Linked DNA regions of Sus scrofa. The protein of the gene in region 1 interacts with the protein of each later gene in a pairwise test. Links are inferred from orthologs where the notes say so. Each region holds a gene or a part of one and is shown in the gene's direction. Other genes may lie near its edges.

Region 1 (7,194 bases):
GGGGGAGAGGGAGGGAGGGTGCTGGTGCTGGCGGTGGCGGCGGTGGGGAGGTTGGTGGGAGCAGTGGGGCATCGAGGAAGAAGTCTTCCATCTGTTCCAACTCCTTCTTGAGGAGGGAGGCCATAGCTTCCAGGTCGGGGGCAGGTGGGGAAGTTGCGGAGAGGGCACCCGAGGGCAAGGGGGGCTCCAGAGGGAGAAGGGCTGTAAAGTCCACCCGCTCGGTCATCCAGTCAGAGAAGCCGTCACCTGGAGGATTGGAGAGGGACAGAAAGTTCCTTGAGTTCCCAGTCCTTCAGCCAGCCAGGTCTCACCCCTGTCCGCCTCATTCACCCCATTCATTCGGTAAAACCAGCAACCAGTCAATCAGTCAACCAACCAATGAATAAACCAAGAGACTAGCCAACTACCCAACCCATCAACCAAACAGCTAACCAGCCAATCAACTGAGTCAACCAACTGCTAATCCACAGACCAATCAACCTATTAACTAAGCAATCAATGAATAAGCCAACCAACCACGACCCACTCAACGAAACAGTCAACCATTTCAAGCCTTTTGTTTGTTTGGTTTGCTTTTTAGGGCCCCACTTGCAGCATGTGGAGGTTCCCAGGGTAGGGATCGAATTGGAGCTGTAGCCACCGGCCTACACCACAGCCACAGCAATGCAGGATCCAAGTCGTGTCTGCAACCTACACCATAGCTCACAGCAACGCCGGATCCTTAATTCACTGAGTGAGGCCAGGGATGGAACCCGCATCCTCATGGATACTAGACAGGCAGGTTAACTGCTGAGCCACGAAGGGAACTCCTCCAACACCCTCACTCTGCACCTGCGGTTTCTTGATTTTCCCTCTAGTTCATTCTCAAATGGCAAACTAGATCACACATAAACACACCTGATTTCATCTTTAATTATTATCGTCTTTTTAGGGCTGCACCTGCAGCATATGGAGGTTCCCAGGCTGGGGGTCGGATCAGAGCTGTAGCCACTGGCCTACACCACAGCCACAGCAACTCCAGATCCTTGACCCACTTTGCGAGGCCAGTGATCAAACCCGAAACCTCATGGTTCCTAGTCGGATTCGTTTCTACTGCGCCACAATGGGCACTCCTCCCCCTGTCTTTTCATGGCTCATTCCGTACCATTTTTTTTTTTTTTTTGGTCTTTTGTCTTTGTTGTTGTTGTTATTGTTGCTATTTCTTGGGCCGCTCCCGCGGCATATGGAGGTTCCCAGGCTAGGGGTTGAATCGGAGCTGTAGCCACCGGCCTACGCCAGAGCCACAGCAACGCGGGATCCGAGCCGCGTCTGCAACCTACACCACAGCTCACGGCAACGCCGGATCGTTAACCCTCTGAGCAAGGGCAGGGATCGAACCCGCAACCTCATGGTTCCTAGTCGGATTCGTTAACCACTGCGCCACGACGGGAACTCCCGTACCATTTTTTAAGCCTCAGCCAAAATGTTACTGCCTTGGAAAGGGTGTCCCAGCTCCCCACTGTAAACTAGTCCTCGCTGTCGCTTTTGAGCTCAGCTACTGTTTCCTGCTTATCCCCACACATCGTCATTTGTCTCTTGTCTGTCCCCAGTAGAGTGTGAGCGCCAAAAGGGTAGGCACCACGTCGGTCTTGTTCCCAGCTGTATCCCCAGCACCTAACAGTGCCTGACATATTATAGGTGCTCAGGAAATATTTATTGAAGGAATAAATACACGAATGAATGAATTCTTCTTCTCCCCTGCCCCCTGACCCCAGCTCACTCCATGACTCCACCTCCATTCTTTGCCTACCCTTACCTGCCAGGGGCTCTCCCCCCCCTGGAAGCCCGCCCTCCAGGGCTCCCCCAAGGACCTCATAGGGGCCCAGGGGGGCAGGGGCCAGGGGGAGTTTCCCATAGTCTACGAGCCAGCCCAGCCCGCTAGCTGGGAGCAGGGTCCTGTCCAGCTCCAGCCCCAGGGTCGCCAGGAGTGACATGGCTGCAGCTCGGGTGCGGGGCACAGATGGCAATGAAGGAGGCTGCACCAACAGCTGGCAGGAGGCTCTGGAGATTACTCAGCTGGGCGAAGACGGGCACCAAGGCGAGAGTGGAGGACCTACGAGTGGGAGACAAAAGTGAGTGGGTTAGGGGCCAGCCTCGCCAACGGCCAAGGCCATGGGGAAACCAAGCGATACCCCCTCAGGTCCCCAGGATTCCTTACCTTTTGGGAATTCTACATCTGCCCTTTCTTTCCTCAAATGGGGACCCCACCCATTCCCAAGGGAATTTTCTTTAGGCCCCGACTTACTTTTCCTCAGAATTCCCTAGACCCAATCCTTCCAATATTGAAACATAATGGTGTCCCAGGGGAATTACCTTAAGACCCTCCCACCCACCCCATAATACTATCTCTCATGGAAAAAAAAAAAAAAAAAAAACACAAAAACCTCAATCCCAGGGGAATTTTCTTCCAGCCACACCTCTTGCCCTAAAACATATCCTTTAGGCCCCACCCTGTCCCTAGATTCCTGCTGTGAATCTGTTCCCAGGGGAATCCCCCTGCCCCGCCCCTTCATCAAAATCCTCCATTCAAATCCCATTCTTCCCTTCGAATTTTGCAGTGGTCTCCCGTCCCCCCAAGCCCTGCCCCCTGGTTTATTAGCTCCACCCTCCCCGACGATTCCCAGAGGCCCCGCCTCTTTCTCAATATAAACCCCACCCCCTCAGCGCACGGCGCGCTTAGCCACGCCCCTTCTCCCAAAGGGTACCCCGCCCCCGCCCCACCCTCCGCGACGTCTCTTATCCTAGCTCCCGTCCCTTAACTGGTCGTTTCTAAGCCCCGCCTTCTCCCCCCGCCCCCGCCCCCGTAGTTGCTTGAAAGAAAGGGAGGGAAGACGTGCTTTTACGCCTGAGCAAACTGGAGGGAGGCGGAGGGTGGAGGGGGGCGGGATGAGAACAGCTCCCGACTCCCCCTCCCCCCACCCCCGTACACGGCTGTCTCGCCGAGGGCCAAAGCGCAGGCTCCAGCCCCAGAGCTGTCCTATTGCCCCCGCAAGGCTCCGCCCTCCTCGGGATCAGTGCTGCGCACGTGCGGCTGCTGCTCGTCAGCCCTTTGCTCCGAGATACAAGCGCCGGTGGATCTGAGCAATCGCTGATTGACAGACTCAATCAGAGCGGGGAGGAGGGGGGAAACCCACCCTCTCTGGGAGCTAGTGCGCAGGCGCAAACGCATGTGGTCGTCTTTAAACGCCAACATTGTCTGGAAGAACGCACCCTCCCCCCATCAGCTGAGTGCGCATGCTCCGCAGCGCGCAAACGGAGCGTCTTGTCTCTTCTGCGCCTGCGCGACCGTGATTCCTCACTCTTGTCTCCCCACCCCCCCGAGCCCGGTGGTGAGGGCCGCGAGCTTGGAAAGGGCGGGAAAGACGGTTGGAGAGGGAGGGGCGAGCGAGCGGTTACTCACTCCATGGCTGCGGAAAGAAGAGGCGGCGGTGGCCTCAGCTGAAGAAAGACGGCAGGAGCGGAGAGCGCAGGCGCGGTGAGCACGGCGACTGGCCGGGGGCACAGAGGGGTCGCGGCTACAGAGCCATGGCTGGAGCTACGCGGGCGGAGGAGGTGTCGCGGTACTGTGAGGAGAGATTGTGATCTGAGGATGGGGAATGAGGCGGCCCGGGGGACTGGGGACAGATATACCGGGGGCGGCGCAGCACGGCGTGCCCGGATCCTTCCGCGCCCCGCCCCGCGCTGCCCCAACCGGGAGGCGGGCTTGGCCTCTAGCCCTCGGGGATCCCGGGGACTGTCCCCCACTTCCGACCAGGGCGTTCAGCCCTCCCCTTCCTCTGACCTGAGGATCTGGCCCTGCTTTGCTCCCGACCCCCTGGACCACCCCCACTCGGGTGGGGCCCCTTTCTCCTTCTGATCCGGGGTCCGGCTTTCTGTTCCCTCTCATTCTGGTGGTTCAGCCTCACCTCTTCCCCGATCCCTGCACGAGTTCATTTCTCCTTTCCTTTCTCTTGCTTCACGAATTTCCGGCCAGCCACGTGCTGATCTCTTCAACTGCCACGGCACTCTGAGAACCCTTGTTGTGGCTTAGGATCTGGTTTGAGTCACAGACCGCGCTCCATTCAAATCGCAGACGGGCGCGGGTGGCCTTGGGCAAATAATTTAAATTCTCTAGCCTCGTAGATAGGGAACTACCTGTAAAATGAGAATAATCACCTCTTCCTAGTGGGGTCGTTTGTGAAAATCCGTGCAGTCGGTGTCTGTGAAACCAGCCCTCCTTCATGCCTGGTCCAACCGCTTTTATTATCCATAACAAGGACCTCTGGGGACCAGTCTCACCCCTTCCAACTCCCCTGGCCAGAGCCCCAGACTCGACCATCCAACACCTGCTAATAGATCATTCTTGTGTCTCCTTCGCTCTAGCATCCCTGCCCTCCCCCATTTCAAACGATGGACGCTCAGCCCCATCCTGCTGCCGGGAGCAAGGCATCATTGCCCAGACTCTCGTGTCCATCCCCTGCTGGCTTCCCCTTAGCCCTTATCCTTAGCACGCCTTTCAGGCCCGTTGGTTCATTCTTCTGTCCCTGCCCCTCACCTAGACGTCCTTTCAAATGGTTTTCTACCTCCGTGCACCCCACCCTCACCCCCAGATCAGTTTTCCACCTTTGCCAGACTTAGGGAGATCTGTAGTTCCATTTGCTGAAAGAGATGGGGCTTCCTGGCCAGTCCCTCCCATTACACAGGGCCTTCCACCAGACCCCGTAGACGAGGGTCTTTGCTGCAAGCCCCTCTCCTCCCCCATTCATCCACATCTAGACGTTACACCTGGAGTACAACTTTTCAGGACTTTGGTGGTGGTTATGAGACTGAGTCAAGATCCAAAGGTGGGAGACCCAGATCTTGAGTTACCTGGAATGATACATGGGCCTCTTTTGTTTTGTTCCATGTGCATGTGCTTTTTTTTTTTCCAGTTTTACTCAAGATATAATTAAACTTTATAAATTTAAGGTGTACAGTATAACAATTTGATTACCCATAAGTTTAGTGAACATTTATCATTTCCTGTAGATGTGAAATTAAAGATATAGAAATAGGGAGTTCCCATTGTGGTGCAGCGGAAACGAATCTGACTAGCATCCATGAGGATGCATGTTCAATCCCTGGTCTTGCTCACTGGGATAAGGATCCAGCGTTGCCATGAGCGGTAGTGTAGGTCGCAGATGTGGCTTGGATCTGGTGCTGCTGTGGCGTAAGCCGGCACCTGTAGCTCCGATTCGACCCCTAGCCTGGAACCTCCATATGCCTTAGGTGCAGCCCCGAAAAAGACCCAAAAAAGTAAATAAATAGATACTTAGAAAAAATACATATTTCTTTTTTTCTTTGGCAACTCCATGGCATATGAGTTCACAGGCCAGGAATCAGATCCGAGCCAAAGGTATGACATATGGAAGGGTTTATTCTCTCTCTCTCTCTCTCTTTTTTTTTTTTTTTTTTTTTTGCTTTTTAGGGCCACATCTGAGGCATATGGAAGTTCCCAGGCTAGGGGTTGAAATGGAGCTACAGCTGTCAGCCTACGCCACAGCCACAGCCATAGCTATGCAGGATCCCAGCCACATCTGTGACCTGCATCACAGCTCACAGCAACACCAGATCCTTAATCCACTGAGCAGGGCCATGGATCGAACCTGCATCTTCATGGATCCTAGTCTGGTTCGTTAACCACTGAGTCACAAAGGGAACTCTGGGTTTATTCTCTTAATAACTTTGATATGTAACATACAGCAGTGTTAATTATACTGATCATTTGATATATTACATACCCAGTACAGGCTGCTCTTCCTACAGGAAGCCCTTTTTGGGATCTGACCCCGTTCCCTTAGAGTACTTCCTGTCCACTGTGCCAGTATTTGAGCACTTGTCCTTTGGGGCCACATTATTACCTAGGCGGCATGGAGTAGTAGTTAAGAGCACAGACTCTGGAGGCAAGTTGTTGGATTCACACCCTGACTATACCCCACTTATTAGCTTCCTGGCAGTTTCGCTGTGCCTCGGTTTCCATTAATAGTGCCAGAACAGAAGTCCTCTGGTGGCCTAGCAGGTTGGGGATCTGGTGTTACCTCTGTGGCTCTGGTTATTACTTGGTGAGGGTTTGGTCCCTGGTCGGGAAGTTTTGTGGGCGCAACCAAAAAAAAAAAAAAAAATAGTGCCAGGATAAAAGTGACTAGAAAGTGCCAGGAGTTTAGTGACTAGAAACATACAGAAAGTGCCAGGAGTTTAGTGACTAGAAACATACAGATGTAAGTGGCTGTCCGTAGTGCCTCCTTCTTAGTGTTGTCTGATATTTAAATGAGTAAATCCAGGCCACCTGCTCATAGCCTAGTTCCTGGCACACATCAGGTGCTACATAAGCGGTTTCTGTTGTTACGGAGGTGGATATGTTTTCTCCATTGCTAAGCCGTAGTGCTTTCAAAGGCCTTTTAAGTGAGAAGTAAGGACCTCCTTCTCCTTGCCCTCCTCAGTGTAGGTACTTGAGCCATAGCAGGTAGGATTAGGGTCGACTCTTGGGCAGGCTGTTGGCAACGAGGGGGCACAGTCCCCCCACTCTTCTCTTGAAAAGACCTTCTAGGTCATGACGGGTGGACTAGGCAGAGTATTTTTCTTTGAATAAACTTTTTATTTTGGAATAATTGTAGATTTATAGAAAAGCTGTGAAGGCCGTGCAGAGGAGTAGAAGTCGGTGCCTTTACATTGCCATGGCGCACTTGTCACAACACTGGAGTCAACATCAGCCCCTTTCTATCGCCTCAACTCCACCTGGTCCTCGGATTTGGCCACTTGTTCCCCAACGCCCCTCCTCTGTTCCAGGATCCCCCCAGGATGCCACGTTACACTTAGTGGTCGCGTCTCCTTGGCTGCCTCTGGTCTGTCTGCGGAGGCTTTTTCAGACTTGCCTTGTCTCAGGATCTCGATGGTCTTGAAGAGTATGGGTTGGGTGCTCTACGGACTGTCTCTCCATTTGGTTTTGCTCGTAGGTGGAGATTATGGGGTTTTGAGGACGGCCAGGTAGAATGCTTTTTAACAACTGCAGACGAACTTAACTGGGTATGGGAGTCATGTTGCCAGTTGCTTGTGGTGTATGCTGACTGAGAAGCCCCTGGTCCCTGCTCCCGGCCCCTTGTGCCTTTCTCTCGCTCCAGCTGCTGGCTCCCACAGAGT
Region 2 (5,593 bases), on another chromosome or scaffold:
AATATTTTTGGTTTTGTAGGAGGCCAAGTGTTCTCTGTCACAACTACTCAACTCTGCAATTGCAGTGCAAAAGCAGCCATAGACAATATGTAAAAGAATGAATGTGGCTATATTTCAGTAAAGCCTTACTCACAGAAACAGGGAGCATGCTGAAGTTGGCATGTGGACATAGTTTGCCTAGGTTTATATTATAAAAATCGATGGACTATGGAAGTGCCGTCTTTCAGTAAATAATGATATTATTGAATGTTAGACCTTAAGTTGAATGAACCCGTATCATGCATTCATTTAATGAATGTGCTCTGCTGTTTGTTTTTTGCTAGACATCGAGTCATTCTGTGTTCTTGAATTATCCTCATATTCCCAGAAGCTTTCAAAAATAACACTTAAACAGCAAGTTGCACATTACTTTACAATGCTATAGAAAAATTGAGTGTGACTTTTTATTATAGTTCTAGAATCTAGATTATTTTCAAATAATGGGCACATCAGCTCTCATTCCCTTGCACATGACAGGTATTATATGACATGGATTATTACAATACTCTTTCCTAATGACTCAGAATACCTTATACTCCTTAGCATAGTGATCTAAGTGGCCACTGCTAATAAGCTAAAATTTGCATGGGAGATGAAACCCATTTGTCATCTTGGTTCTCATATGCTTTTGAATTACTACAGTGGCAGCCTTGGAAAATACCTTTTTTGGGAAGTAGAAAAATAAGGTATTACTGCATTAATGTTTATTGTGAATGCTAAATGAAAAATTATATAATTTTTTTTGAAAAGTTTAAGTAGTTTTTATTTTGTCTTAGGGTCATTATCTATGAATCCTGGAAACTTGTACTGCTTCATTTTATGATGAATATCAGGGGAATTATAGGAATTAATATGTTTGTTACACCATATATACTTAAGCATGCAGGTATCTGGGACTTAACAGCTATTCAGGAAAAATGGTGAACCTCAGCACCTCAGTTTGAACATCGTTGAAAAGAGCACTGTGAAGAACTTAACATTAAAGATTTAATCCCCTTACAATCAGATGTAAGGAGAGAAGACAGTTTCTGAAAGAAGCAATTTTAAATGACAGAAAAGAACTGAAAGAGCCACAAAAAGGAAATGAAGAAACATCACCTCAGCTTTGAGGCTTCCAAACATAGGGATAAATAGTTTTTAGGTTGTTATCGTGTCATCCTGAGTTACTGTAAATGTGTTTTTTACTTATGCTAAATATTCTGTTCGTGAGCAAAAAAAAAAAAAAAAAAACATGTAATACATTTTAAATCAAAATTGTTTAAAATGAATTTAATGGTTTAAAGAATTATCTCTTCATTAACACTTTGAAACTAGCCATCTTTTATTCATTCCCATCTTCTAACCTTGACAGATTCTGTCTATTCTGTTGAAATGCCCCCTCCTTTTTGTACTTACTGTCATCCTAGTTCAGGTTCTTTGTTTCATCCACTTGATGACAGCAATAGTTTTCTTAGCCAGTCTTATTACCTCTAATGAAATTTCTTCCTTTCCTAGTTCATCTTTCCTGATGCTCCCTTTTTCCATATATTTTCAGATAATATACCAGTGTTAATATGCTATATTAGCTTTTAATTTTTTGCTATTTTTCAGGAACATATAAAGTATAAGACAAGTACTTTTATGTATTTTTTTCTCTTTTAGTCTGAAAATAAAGGATTAGAAACTACCAAGAGCAGTGTAGTTCAACCAGTTTCAGAAGAGGGAAGAAAATCTAAACCCAAAACAGGTAGGTTATAAATGTAGTATTAGCTTCTGTAGATTTTTTTTTAAAGTAAGATTTCTGTGTAGTTGGAGTTCCCATTGTGGCTCAGCAGAAACAGATCTGGCTAGTATCCATGAGGATGCAGGTTCCATCCCTGGCCTCTCAGTGGATTAAGGATCCAGTGTTGCCATGAGCTATGGTGTAGGTCACAGATGCGGCTCAGATTTGAAGTTGCCGTGGCTATAGCATAGGCCGGCAGCTACAGCTCCTATTTGACCCTTAACCTGGAAACCTCCATATGCTGCTGGTGCGGCCCTAAAAAAAGATTTTTGTGTAGAAATTAATGTGAGCCAAGGTGAAGGTCTTTTTATGCTTAACAGTTGAATACAGATTTGTACTAGTCTCAGTTCTAGGCATAATGTGTCAAGGTTGCAGCATGTAAAGGAAATTGAATTGATGTGGTAGTAGTTCTTAAAGTCTCCTGTTTTGTTTTATTTTCCCGTTTAGGAGAAATTGAAAGAACCCTGATTTCTTAATTGTTGAATAAAAGACTACATTTTCTGACTTGTGTGTTTTTAAATTTATTGATACAAAGAATCATAATTCTTGTTTGGTTATATAAGAATAGTGATTGTACATCTGCATCTGTTTTTTAAATCTTCAGCTTAAACTCTATATAAGTTGGTGATAAAAGATCACTTTTCTAATCTTCGTTACAGATAAGCAGCTTATCCAGTACACTGCCTTTCCACTTCTTGCATTCCTTGATGGGAACCCTGCATCTGCTGTTGAACAGGGGAATACGGCATCATCAGAAGTTATGTCCTCTGTAGATAAACCTATAGAAGTTGATGAGCTTCTAGATAGCAGCCTGGACCCAGAACCAACCCAGAGTAAGCTTGTTCGCCTGGAGCCATTGACTGAAGCTGAAGCTAGTGAAGCCACACTGTTTTATTTATGTGAACTTGCTCCTGCACCTCTGGATAGTGATATGCCACTTTTAGATAGCTAAATCCCTAAGAAGTGGACTCTATATGTATATATTCATCAAAATGATGAACTATTTATTTTAAAGTATCATTTGGTACTTTTTTTTTGTAAATTGCTCTGTTTGGTTTAATCAGATACTGTGGAATTGTAAAGCACCTTTTGCTTTTCTCACTAACTACACACTCTTGCAAAGCTTTCAGATGTTACTCAGCTATGTGGGTGCATAATATGTGTTCAGTCACATTATTGGCATATCTTTAAGTTGGATTCAAATGGCCATTTTTTCTCCAGTTATGGTAAATTGGATTTCTTTTTTGCACATATGCTCATTAACTCCAGTTAAACTTTTTGTTTGTTTGTTTTACTTGTTTAATGCTATCTCTTTGCATTGAGTGTTAAGTCACTATAACTAATGGTAGGACTCCTAAAGCTTTCTCTGTTGCAGTTGCTTTTAATAAGTATTTTTCACTTGGCTTCTTTTTAAAACTGGGAACATAAAGTGCCTGTATCTTGTAAAATTTCATTTGTCTTTCTCAGTTCAGAGAAGTTCGTTCATGTTCAAAAAGGAAGGCAATGTATACTTGAGTGCTTACTGTCTGATTCAGTTTCAGCTCCATATACATAGAAGAAGGGGATGGGATGATGCAACCTGTCCACCTTATTGGACTAGTTCTAAGTAAAAGTTTCTGGTTCGTTTCTGTTTTTTTGAAGCATACTATTTAGTAAAATAAATATAATGAATGTTGCGTACCATTGTCTTATGTGTCGTCGTTGGAGGTGATTCCCACATGTAACAGTTTTTCCTTTTCATAGGAAGTAGATAAACAATAAATTTTGCCTGTTGTCCATTATTCTTAATATAAGTCATACCAAGATCTTTGTGCGTCCTCTCAGAAGATAGAGTGTGTATTACAACAAGGAATATAATACAATGCCTCCAAATTTAATGTGTTTTTAAATTCTTCATTTAAAAATTATACTGGCTTGCATTCTATGTTTCTGATAAAGAACCGAGAGAAATATCCTCTGATTGTCTCAAATGAGGTAAGAACATTATCTCTGGATGCCAAAGGCCTGTAATTTTTGCCCTGAGAGAAGGTAAGAGACACAAGTCAAATCACTTCTTCCCTCTTGAACACTTGCTCAGGATTAGAGAGACTTAACGGCAAGGCTAGGGCACTCTCACTTGAAGAATTCCACCTTCAAGCAGAGGGCTGGAAACATTGAGCTAGTATCTGAGTATTTTACAGGGCTGTTAGATGAGGAATTACAAAGATAGACTTTCTATTGGCTATTTCTATTGTCTCTTAATACCTTAGAATTTTAAATCATCTCTTACTATGATTTAAAAATTCAAATAAAGCCTAGCACAGAGAGGTAAGAAACTTGCTTAACAGATTCCAAAATACTTGACTCTGACAGTGAGATCTTGGTGAACTAAATCAAGACCTCAGAACTTTTTCTGCATAAACTTTAGAGGTCACTTTCCTAGAAAAGTGTGAAGAGTTTGGAGACAGAGAATTTCAGACTTTTTCATTAACCCCTTCCCTTCCTCTCTGTGGGATACGATCAAGCTTTTTCATTGGGGCTATTTTGGAGCTCTAGAAGTATTTAAATAATTTTGAAGACTTTATACTTCCTAGTACTTTGAAGGTGACATTTAAAATTTTTCATCTTATGTTTAAGTTGTTGGGAGGAATTTAGAATATTGTTAATACTGCCATTTTTAAAAATAGAGTTGTTACATGCTTTTACATGTATCTAAAAGAATCTAAATACCATAGTGATTTGATATCCATCATCCATTACACTTTGTCCAAAGAATTTTATCCATTTATTATGTGTGAGTTATACATTGAAGATAACTGCCACACTTCTCCACAACTGAATTTCAAATAGTTTCCTGTAACCTAAAATTCTGAGCATCAAAGTTTGTCTTCAGTTGATCAAAACAGGATAAAAGTATGTAACAGAGGCTGTTAACTGATTGCTGAATGATTTCCTATCATGCAATTGGATAATTTCCACCTCTGTAAGCAGAGTAGCTCTGTAACTGAGTTGTAATGAATCAGGAAAAGTGATGTTCAGAACTTATAGGTCTGGTCTGTGAAAACCTCCCCCATGCAACCCTCCTTGCCTTTTACCTGTCTCTAGCTTGATGCCAAGGAGTATGTGGCTTCCAAGGATACACATGAGAAGGAAGAAACTGGCTTCCTGTATAACTGCTTATAGGAAAACCACCGTCAATCCTGGAAATTCATTTTAGACTTCAGGTGAGGGGGGAACAAACTTTTATTATGTTCCGTCTCTGAATTTTTGGGGGGTTGATCTGTTAAGAGTTTTTAGTGTTCACTGATACAGTGCGGTTCAAATTTTGATGAACCATTATTAAGTAAAATTTTACCAGAAATACATCTTTTAATGGGGTGAACAGGTATCAGGGTTTTATTTCCCAAATGTCTCATTATCTGGGTAAGTTTATATCAGTGTAATGAGAGGTAGCATCAATTTTTTGTTTTTATATGGTGCTGAGTAATAAAAGGATGAGAATAGAAGGAATGGTTTTACAGCAATGTCGCTTAATTCTTTCAAGTCCTTCAGAATTATATACCAGAATTCACTATTAAGTATTTTTAAAAATGTATTAGCTGGTGACTTAATTAGATCATAGTGATTCAATTTTATTGAAATCAAAATAGAAATCATCTGAATTGCAAAGGATTTTTAAACCCAGTGTCATTCTCTTACCGATATTTGGATTTCTCTCTTCTGAGAATTCAGTGGTTTTATCCAAAGTGTTTTGGTATTAAGATTCAGAATTCATTAAAAGATAGATCCTTTGTTTTGTCATGTGTGAAAAGA
Region 3 (5,654 bases), about 33 Mb from region 1:
GGAATAGGATGGCACCCTATTATTGCACCTTGAGGGGTAGGATGTTATGAGGAATTGAAACAAAGTCCCTAAAGCCTGTGCAGTGCTGGGATGTCCTGAGTGCTAAAAGCATGTCCTGTCCTCTTGTTTTCCTCCCTCCCTTCTTGGGAAGCATCTACCTGTTACCTCTGGACGAGGGCAGCATCAAGCCAGGATATTCTGACCTCCGTGTCTGCTGCAGCTCCAGCTGGGTGACCTTGTGCCTGGCATGCAACACCTCTGGCTTTCTTCCCCCTTCCATAGATGGGGGTTATGTGGACATGGCTGTAACCTCAAGTGCTTTAGGACAATGCCCTGAAGTCAAATCCTCTGCTAAATAGGCCATCCTGGCCTCTAGCAGCAGAGACAGCTGGGGGCAAGAGGTTGAAACCTACTCAGATGCTTCTGCTTCTCCAGCCACCACCTCTTGGGCTTGGCCAGTGACCCTGAGGAACTGTTTCCAAGGCTGCCAGCCCACAAGCAGGAAAAACTATGTTCTGGATGGAGCATTGCCTTCGGTGTGTTTGAGTGTCTTTCTGCCAAGCCTCAGCTCCCCCCTCCTTCCAAGGAGGAGGGGACATCTACCCTCTCTCAGGATCGGCTACCCTGCAGCAGCTTGCCTCAGGCCTCCCAGCCCCTGGGCCAGGCATGGAAGAGGGAGAACTGGGAGGTTTGCTCTCTACAGGGTGTCCCTATAGTAGTATCTTTTCACCAGACCCGATCATTCAGCTACTCAGCTGTTTCCTCTTCCTCACAGCTGCCTCCAATAGTTTCCTCCTTGTGGAGGAAGCGGGCAGCAGAGATGGGACAGTACCCAGAGATGGAGAGGTGCCTGTCCTACCACATGCTTTTAACTTAAAGTAGCCTACCTTCTTGAGGGGCAAGAAATCCAATTAAACGCCAACAGTTCTATGGGATGGCCAGGCTAGAAATAATCTGCTCTGAGTGGACAAAAAGCTGGGGGAATGGGAATGAGGAAGGTGATCATAAGGGTGTACCCCTAGCCCTAAACACACACAGCCTTTTCAGATTCTCCTATTAAGCCTGCTCAGTCACGGTCCCCTAGCCTGGCTTAGAGCCCCCAGACTTCTAGAAGAGACACCTGGGAGAGCTGCCAAATGAGAACCAGCTGATGTGGACTGGCAGCAGCACCCAGAAGAGTTTAAGTGGACATTTAACCAGGGCTGTGGAACACTCCAAGGGTACCCAGCCCCAGGACAAGGCAGTTGCTGCCCACTTGTCAGCTGAAGGGCTCACATGATATGGACCAAGAGGAGTAGGAATACAGGGCAGAGTCCTAATTTTCCAATAACTCCCATTCCTGAGAGTTTGTTTTTTGTTTTTTGTTTTTTTGCTTTTTGGGGCCTCACCCGTGGCATATGGAAGTTCCCAGGCTCTAGAGGTCTAATTTGAGCTGCATCTGCCGGCCCATACCACAGCCACAGCCAAGCCATGTCTGTGAACTACACAGCTCACAGCAATGCCGGATCCTTAACCCACTGAGCGAGGCCAGGCATCGAACCTGAGTCTTCATGGATACTAGTCAGGTTTGTTAGTGCTGAGCCTCGATGGGAACTCCCCCAAGAATCTTTTAGACATTGTGTGTGATCACCATTAGGCTGGAGAGTCTCAGGACCATTCTTCCTCCCCAGTCTTTCCCAGGGATTAGGCTGGTACATGCACCTTTTATCTTAGTGGGACTGGGGCTGTGGGCATCCCCTGGAGTATAGGATAAGTGCCCATCTTGAAGGCTGGTGGCACTTCTCTAGCTGGGCTGTCTGACTCTACCATATTGTCCACCTCTCCCTCCCTGCCCAGCACCTGAAGGCCCCTCCCCCCACCAAGCAGCAGTGGTGAACTACACCTCCCATGGGGTTAGCTTGAAGGTGGGCTACCTGAGCTCTGGTCCTAGCACCATCAACAGTTTAGGTTAGAGGCTGAGTCTGCTGTGGCCAGAGTGACCAGACACCCCCTTCCTGTCCCTCAATCCCAGCTCAGGCCTCTACCCTCTTTCCACAGTCCATTGTGACACTGGATGGAGGCAAACTTGTCCACCTGCAGAAGTGGAATGGACAAGAGACAACGCTTGTTCGGGAACTAGTTGATGGGAAACTCATCCTGGTAAGATGGACAACTTTGGAGTCTCACCCAGTTGGTTCTTACTGCCCCTTCAGCCAACCCTACTGTGAAAAGCCAAGGTTCCCTGGGACCAGTGGAAGCTGGGATAGTGGAGGGTGGAGGCAAGGCTGGGTGGCATTAGGCATTAGGTAGGAATTTTCTTATGTAGTGGCTTTGGACTCACACAAGATTGGGTTTAAATCACAGTTTATAGGCTACATGACTTGGGGTAAGTTAGGTTCTCCATGTCCAACTGTAAAGTGGGTATTAATGACACCAGCCTTGGAGGGCTGCTGTGAAGTCTGAGGGAGATGGTGGATGAGGAGCACAGGATCACTGGCATGAGAGAACTATAGTAGGCATGCGCCATTGCCTTAGTTTCATTCTGCTTCACCCAGGAAGCAGTAGAAAGCGGGGCCAAATCTGATCCCAGGTCCTGGTGAGAGGCTCTCATCTCCTAAGCCTTGGGGCAGAGGCAGGCTGGTGATGGTGGGGCCCTGGCTGATAGCACAGCCCTTTCTATTTCATTTCAGGCTCACCTCCTCTCAGTGCTTTCTGTGCCTGGCCTATCTGACCATGGCCTGGGTTGGAGGCAACAATCAGGCTGGCAGCATGTTTAGGGACACACTTGGGGACATCACTGGAAGAATGGAGCCTTGACTGAATACCCCCAGGGGCAGAGACAGCAGCCAGCTGTGGTCTCTACCACTTAACTCTGTAGCACCTCAGGTTTTTGCCTCAGTATCTTCACTGCAGACCCTCCTGGGTCAGTGTGACCTGCTGACTGCATTCTTGCACTCAAACAGGGCAGGGGCCCAGCAGAGTTAAGAATGAGGTACCTGGCTCAGGTGGGAATGTGATATACAGAACCAAATACTCACTGGGCATTCAGGTTATGGTGAAACCATGATGCCTGGCAGGATGATGGGGTTTTGGCCCTGGCACTGCCCTAAGTTAGGGAAGGAATGGAGAGTTGGTGGCCTAGTAGAGTCCTTTCCCCAAGCATCTCTGGGCATTTTTGTTCACCCATTTACTATGTACCAGGCACCATCTTAGGCACAAAGGATGACAGAAGAATGGTACAAGGGGAAGAGAAATGCTCTAGGATCTTGACCAAGTTACCTCCTCAAAGCTCATTTTCCCAAGTCTCTACGAGAGGAATTACAGTGCTGAACTTGAAGACCTGGTGTAAGCATTAGGAAAAAATACATGTCAAGTACCTGGCATGTAGTAGGTAGTAAATGACGATTATTAGCATGAAGGTAGAGGGCTTTCCCCGGCAGAGTGAAGAGTGCTCCCAGTACCTTCTGTGCCCTTACCCCTGCCCTAATCTGACCCTCTTTTATTCCAGACACTCACCCATGGCAGTGCAGTTTGCACTCGCACTTACGAGAAAGAGGCATGACCTGCCCATCCCTTCGACTGTTCCTGCCAATTGGCTACTCCTGGACTCAGCACCAGATTGCCTCATTTTTTCCTCTGGCATTTTGTAAAAATCTACTTTGGGGATATTCTCCTGGGGTCAGGTTGCACCAGCCTGCGTTCAGTTCCGGTTCTTGTTGTGTATGTTTGTTTTTTTTTAATTGCATCCAAAGGGTGCTCTGAGGTCAATAAAATAGCCAAGGCCACCCAGCTGCCTCTTTGTCTTTGGTGACATGACTCTGGGAGTTCCAGTTTCAGTGTGTGTCAGAGTGGGCAGAGATGACTGCCATTCAGGAAGATGCACTGGATGAGACTGAAGTGGACAGTGTCAGGAACAGTGATAGATGATCACCTTACACATACAAGAAATTAAACCGCTGTACCTACACCTTGTCTTTACACTGCCCTCTTCCTATGGCCAAGTGAGCTCGTCCAGCCTGGAATAATCACTCAGTGGCAAGGCTTCTGAAATGTCACCTCAGGCCTGTCCTGCACTGAATGCCCTGGAGTCTGGACAGTTGCCCTTTGTGGAAGGCAGTGGTCTCTTTCCAGAAAGTAGGCTCAGGACACAAGCCAGGCACAAGAAAATGCCCACTGGCCAAGAGGACCGCTGAGCTTCTGCCAGGCCGTTACCTGCGGTTACAGATCCTTACTGGCTCTCCAGTCAGCCCTAGGGGAGAGGTCATCTGATCATTACAGAAGAGAGGCTTATAAGTGATCTCCTAAGAAGGCTAGGACCTGCCAGTGTCTTTGGCTCAGAACCTTTGCTGGGCCTCTCTCCAAGGTCTAAGGTAACATATTAAATGTTTTTCTGTCAACTAATGCACACTCAGTAACTTTTAAGTTTGGAGGTTACAGGAAGAGATTATACCAGTTAAGACTCTCAGTAAGTTTAAAACCAAACACACTTCCATTTAGTGCCAGGAATTTAAGCAGAGACCTGAAATGGAACCATTTGACTCACACTGTAGTAAATGCAAAGTAAAGCAACGATCTTGGCTTGAGCTGTTTGGTTCAGTGGTCTGATGGAATGTCACACACAAGCTGAGTCACTGCAAACAATGGTTTCTGGCTGTGACTGCTGGCTGTCGCTTCTAACACAGTAGAATCGTGTTGGGGGACTGGAAAAAGTGAGCACCACTTCTTACCATGTTCTCCCTTGTACTGCCAGTCTCCCTCTGCGCCTGTGTTGGATGCTACAGAGATCACCCACCAATTAGCCCAGGGCAGACCAACAGCAGGCCAATCACTGTCCTCCAACTATAGCCAGACTCACCTCCACAGCAGTACCTGTGGCTCTAGCCTAGACTCCTGTATAGGAATCTGGCTCTGGCAGTGGCAGCTGGAGAGGTTAACAGGACCTCCTGCTGAATGAAGGAAGTTGGGTCGATGAGAGGGTGAGCTGCAGGGGTCACTTGCAGAGGGACCAGGAGTGATAAGGAAACAACTCGTTCAGGCAGATGGTTTTGATACTTAACTCCCAAACCTGCCTGTGGCTAAGGGGAAGCCACCTTCCATGGGAGAGAAAATGGGGTGGGAGGCCACATTCTCACTAGTGAGTCCTTCCAGGAGCCAGGGCTTCAAGGTACAAGGCTCCGGTTTCCTTCTCTCAACCACCCCTTCTACTCTTTCCACTCTCACTCCTTGTGCTTCTTCTTGTGCTTCTTCTTCTTTTTCTTCTTCTTGGCCGCCTTGTTGTCTTTTGATGTGTGCCTTGCCCTCTTGCCTGTATCACTCTCAGAGTCTGAGCTGTCAGAGTTAGATGACTTCCTGTCTCTATGTTTCTTTTTCTTCTTTTCCTGAACAAAAAAATAAACAAGAATCTCAACATTGTATGTGCATATTTGCTTTTAAAAATATGGCATGTGCAGTTTCTGCTGTGGTGCAGTGGATTAAGAATCTGACTATAGTGGCTTGGGTTGCTGTGGAGGCAAAGGTTTGATCCTTGGCCCCTCAGGAGAAGGCTAAAGGATCTGGCATTGCCACAGCTATGGAACCTGTGAGTCGGATTTGACCCCTGGCCCAGGAACTTACATAGGCCAAGGGTGTGGCCATTAAAAAAATAATGGCATGTAATCAGTAGGGAATAACTTAAT

What was found.
Region 2: the proteins of NUP62 (region 1) and HSF2 interact in binary tests that used the Homo sapiens proteins (3 or more experiments, as listed by UniProt). The link is inferred for Sus scrofa from reciprocal best matches to the Homo sapiens genes NUP62 and HSF2.
Region 3: the proteins of NUP62 (region 1) and FABP3 interact in binary tests that used the Homo sapiens proteins (3 or more experiments, as listed by UniProt). The two-hybrid records come from large-scale screens. The link is inferred for Sus scrofa from reciprocal best matches to the Homo sapiens genes NUP62 and FABP3.

What each region holds. Positions count from the first base shown.
Region 1 is NC_010448.4:54,941,905-54,949,098, reverse strand, and holds the start of NUP62 (nuclear pore glycoprotein p62), read left to right. Parts: upstream 1-3,393; 5' UTR 3,394-3,514; exon of another isoform or gene 3,515-3,718; intron 3,719-3,944; exon of another isoform or gene 3,945-4,032; intron 4,033-7,194. Other genes in the region: ATF5 (cyclic AMP-dependent transcription factor ATF-5), read right to left, coding at 1-246, 1,796-1,973. UniProt on the Homo sapiens protein: Essential component of the nuclear pore complex. The N-terminal is probably involved in nucleocytoplasmic transport.
Region 2 is NC_010443.5:40,145,156-40,150,748, reverse strand, and holds the end of HSF2 (heat shock factor protein 2), read left to right. Parts: intron 1-1,680; coding exon 1,681-1,765; intron 1,766-2,460; coding exon 2,461-2,753; 3' UTR 2,754-3,482; downstream 3,483-5,593. UniProt on the Homo sapiens protein: DNA-binding protein that specifically binds heat shock promoter elements (HSE) and activates transcription. In higher eukaryotes, HSF is unable to bind to the HSE unless the cells are heat shocked.
Region 3 is NC_010448.4:87,940,892-87,946,545, reverse strand, and holds the end of FABP3 (fatty acid-binding protein, heart), read left to right. Parts: intron 1-2,037; coding exon 2,038-2,139; intron 2,140-3,487; coding exon 3,488-3,541; 3' UTR 3,542-3,543; downstream 3,544-5,654. Other genes in the region: ZCCHC17 (nucleolar protein of 40 kDa), read right to left, coding at 5,196-5,357. UniProt on the Homo sapiens protein: FABPs are thought to play a role in the intracellular transport of long-chain fatty acids and their acyl-CoA esters.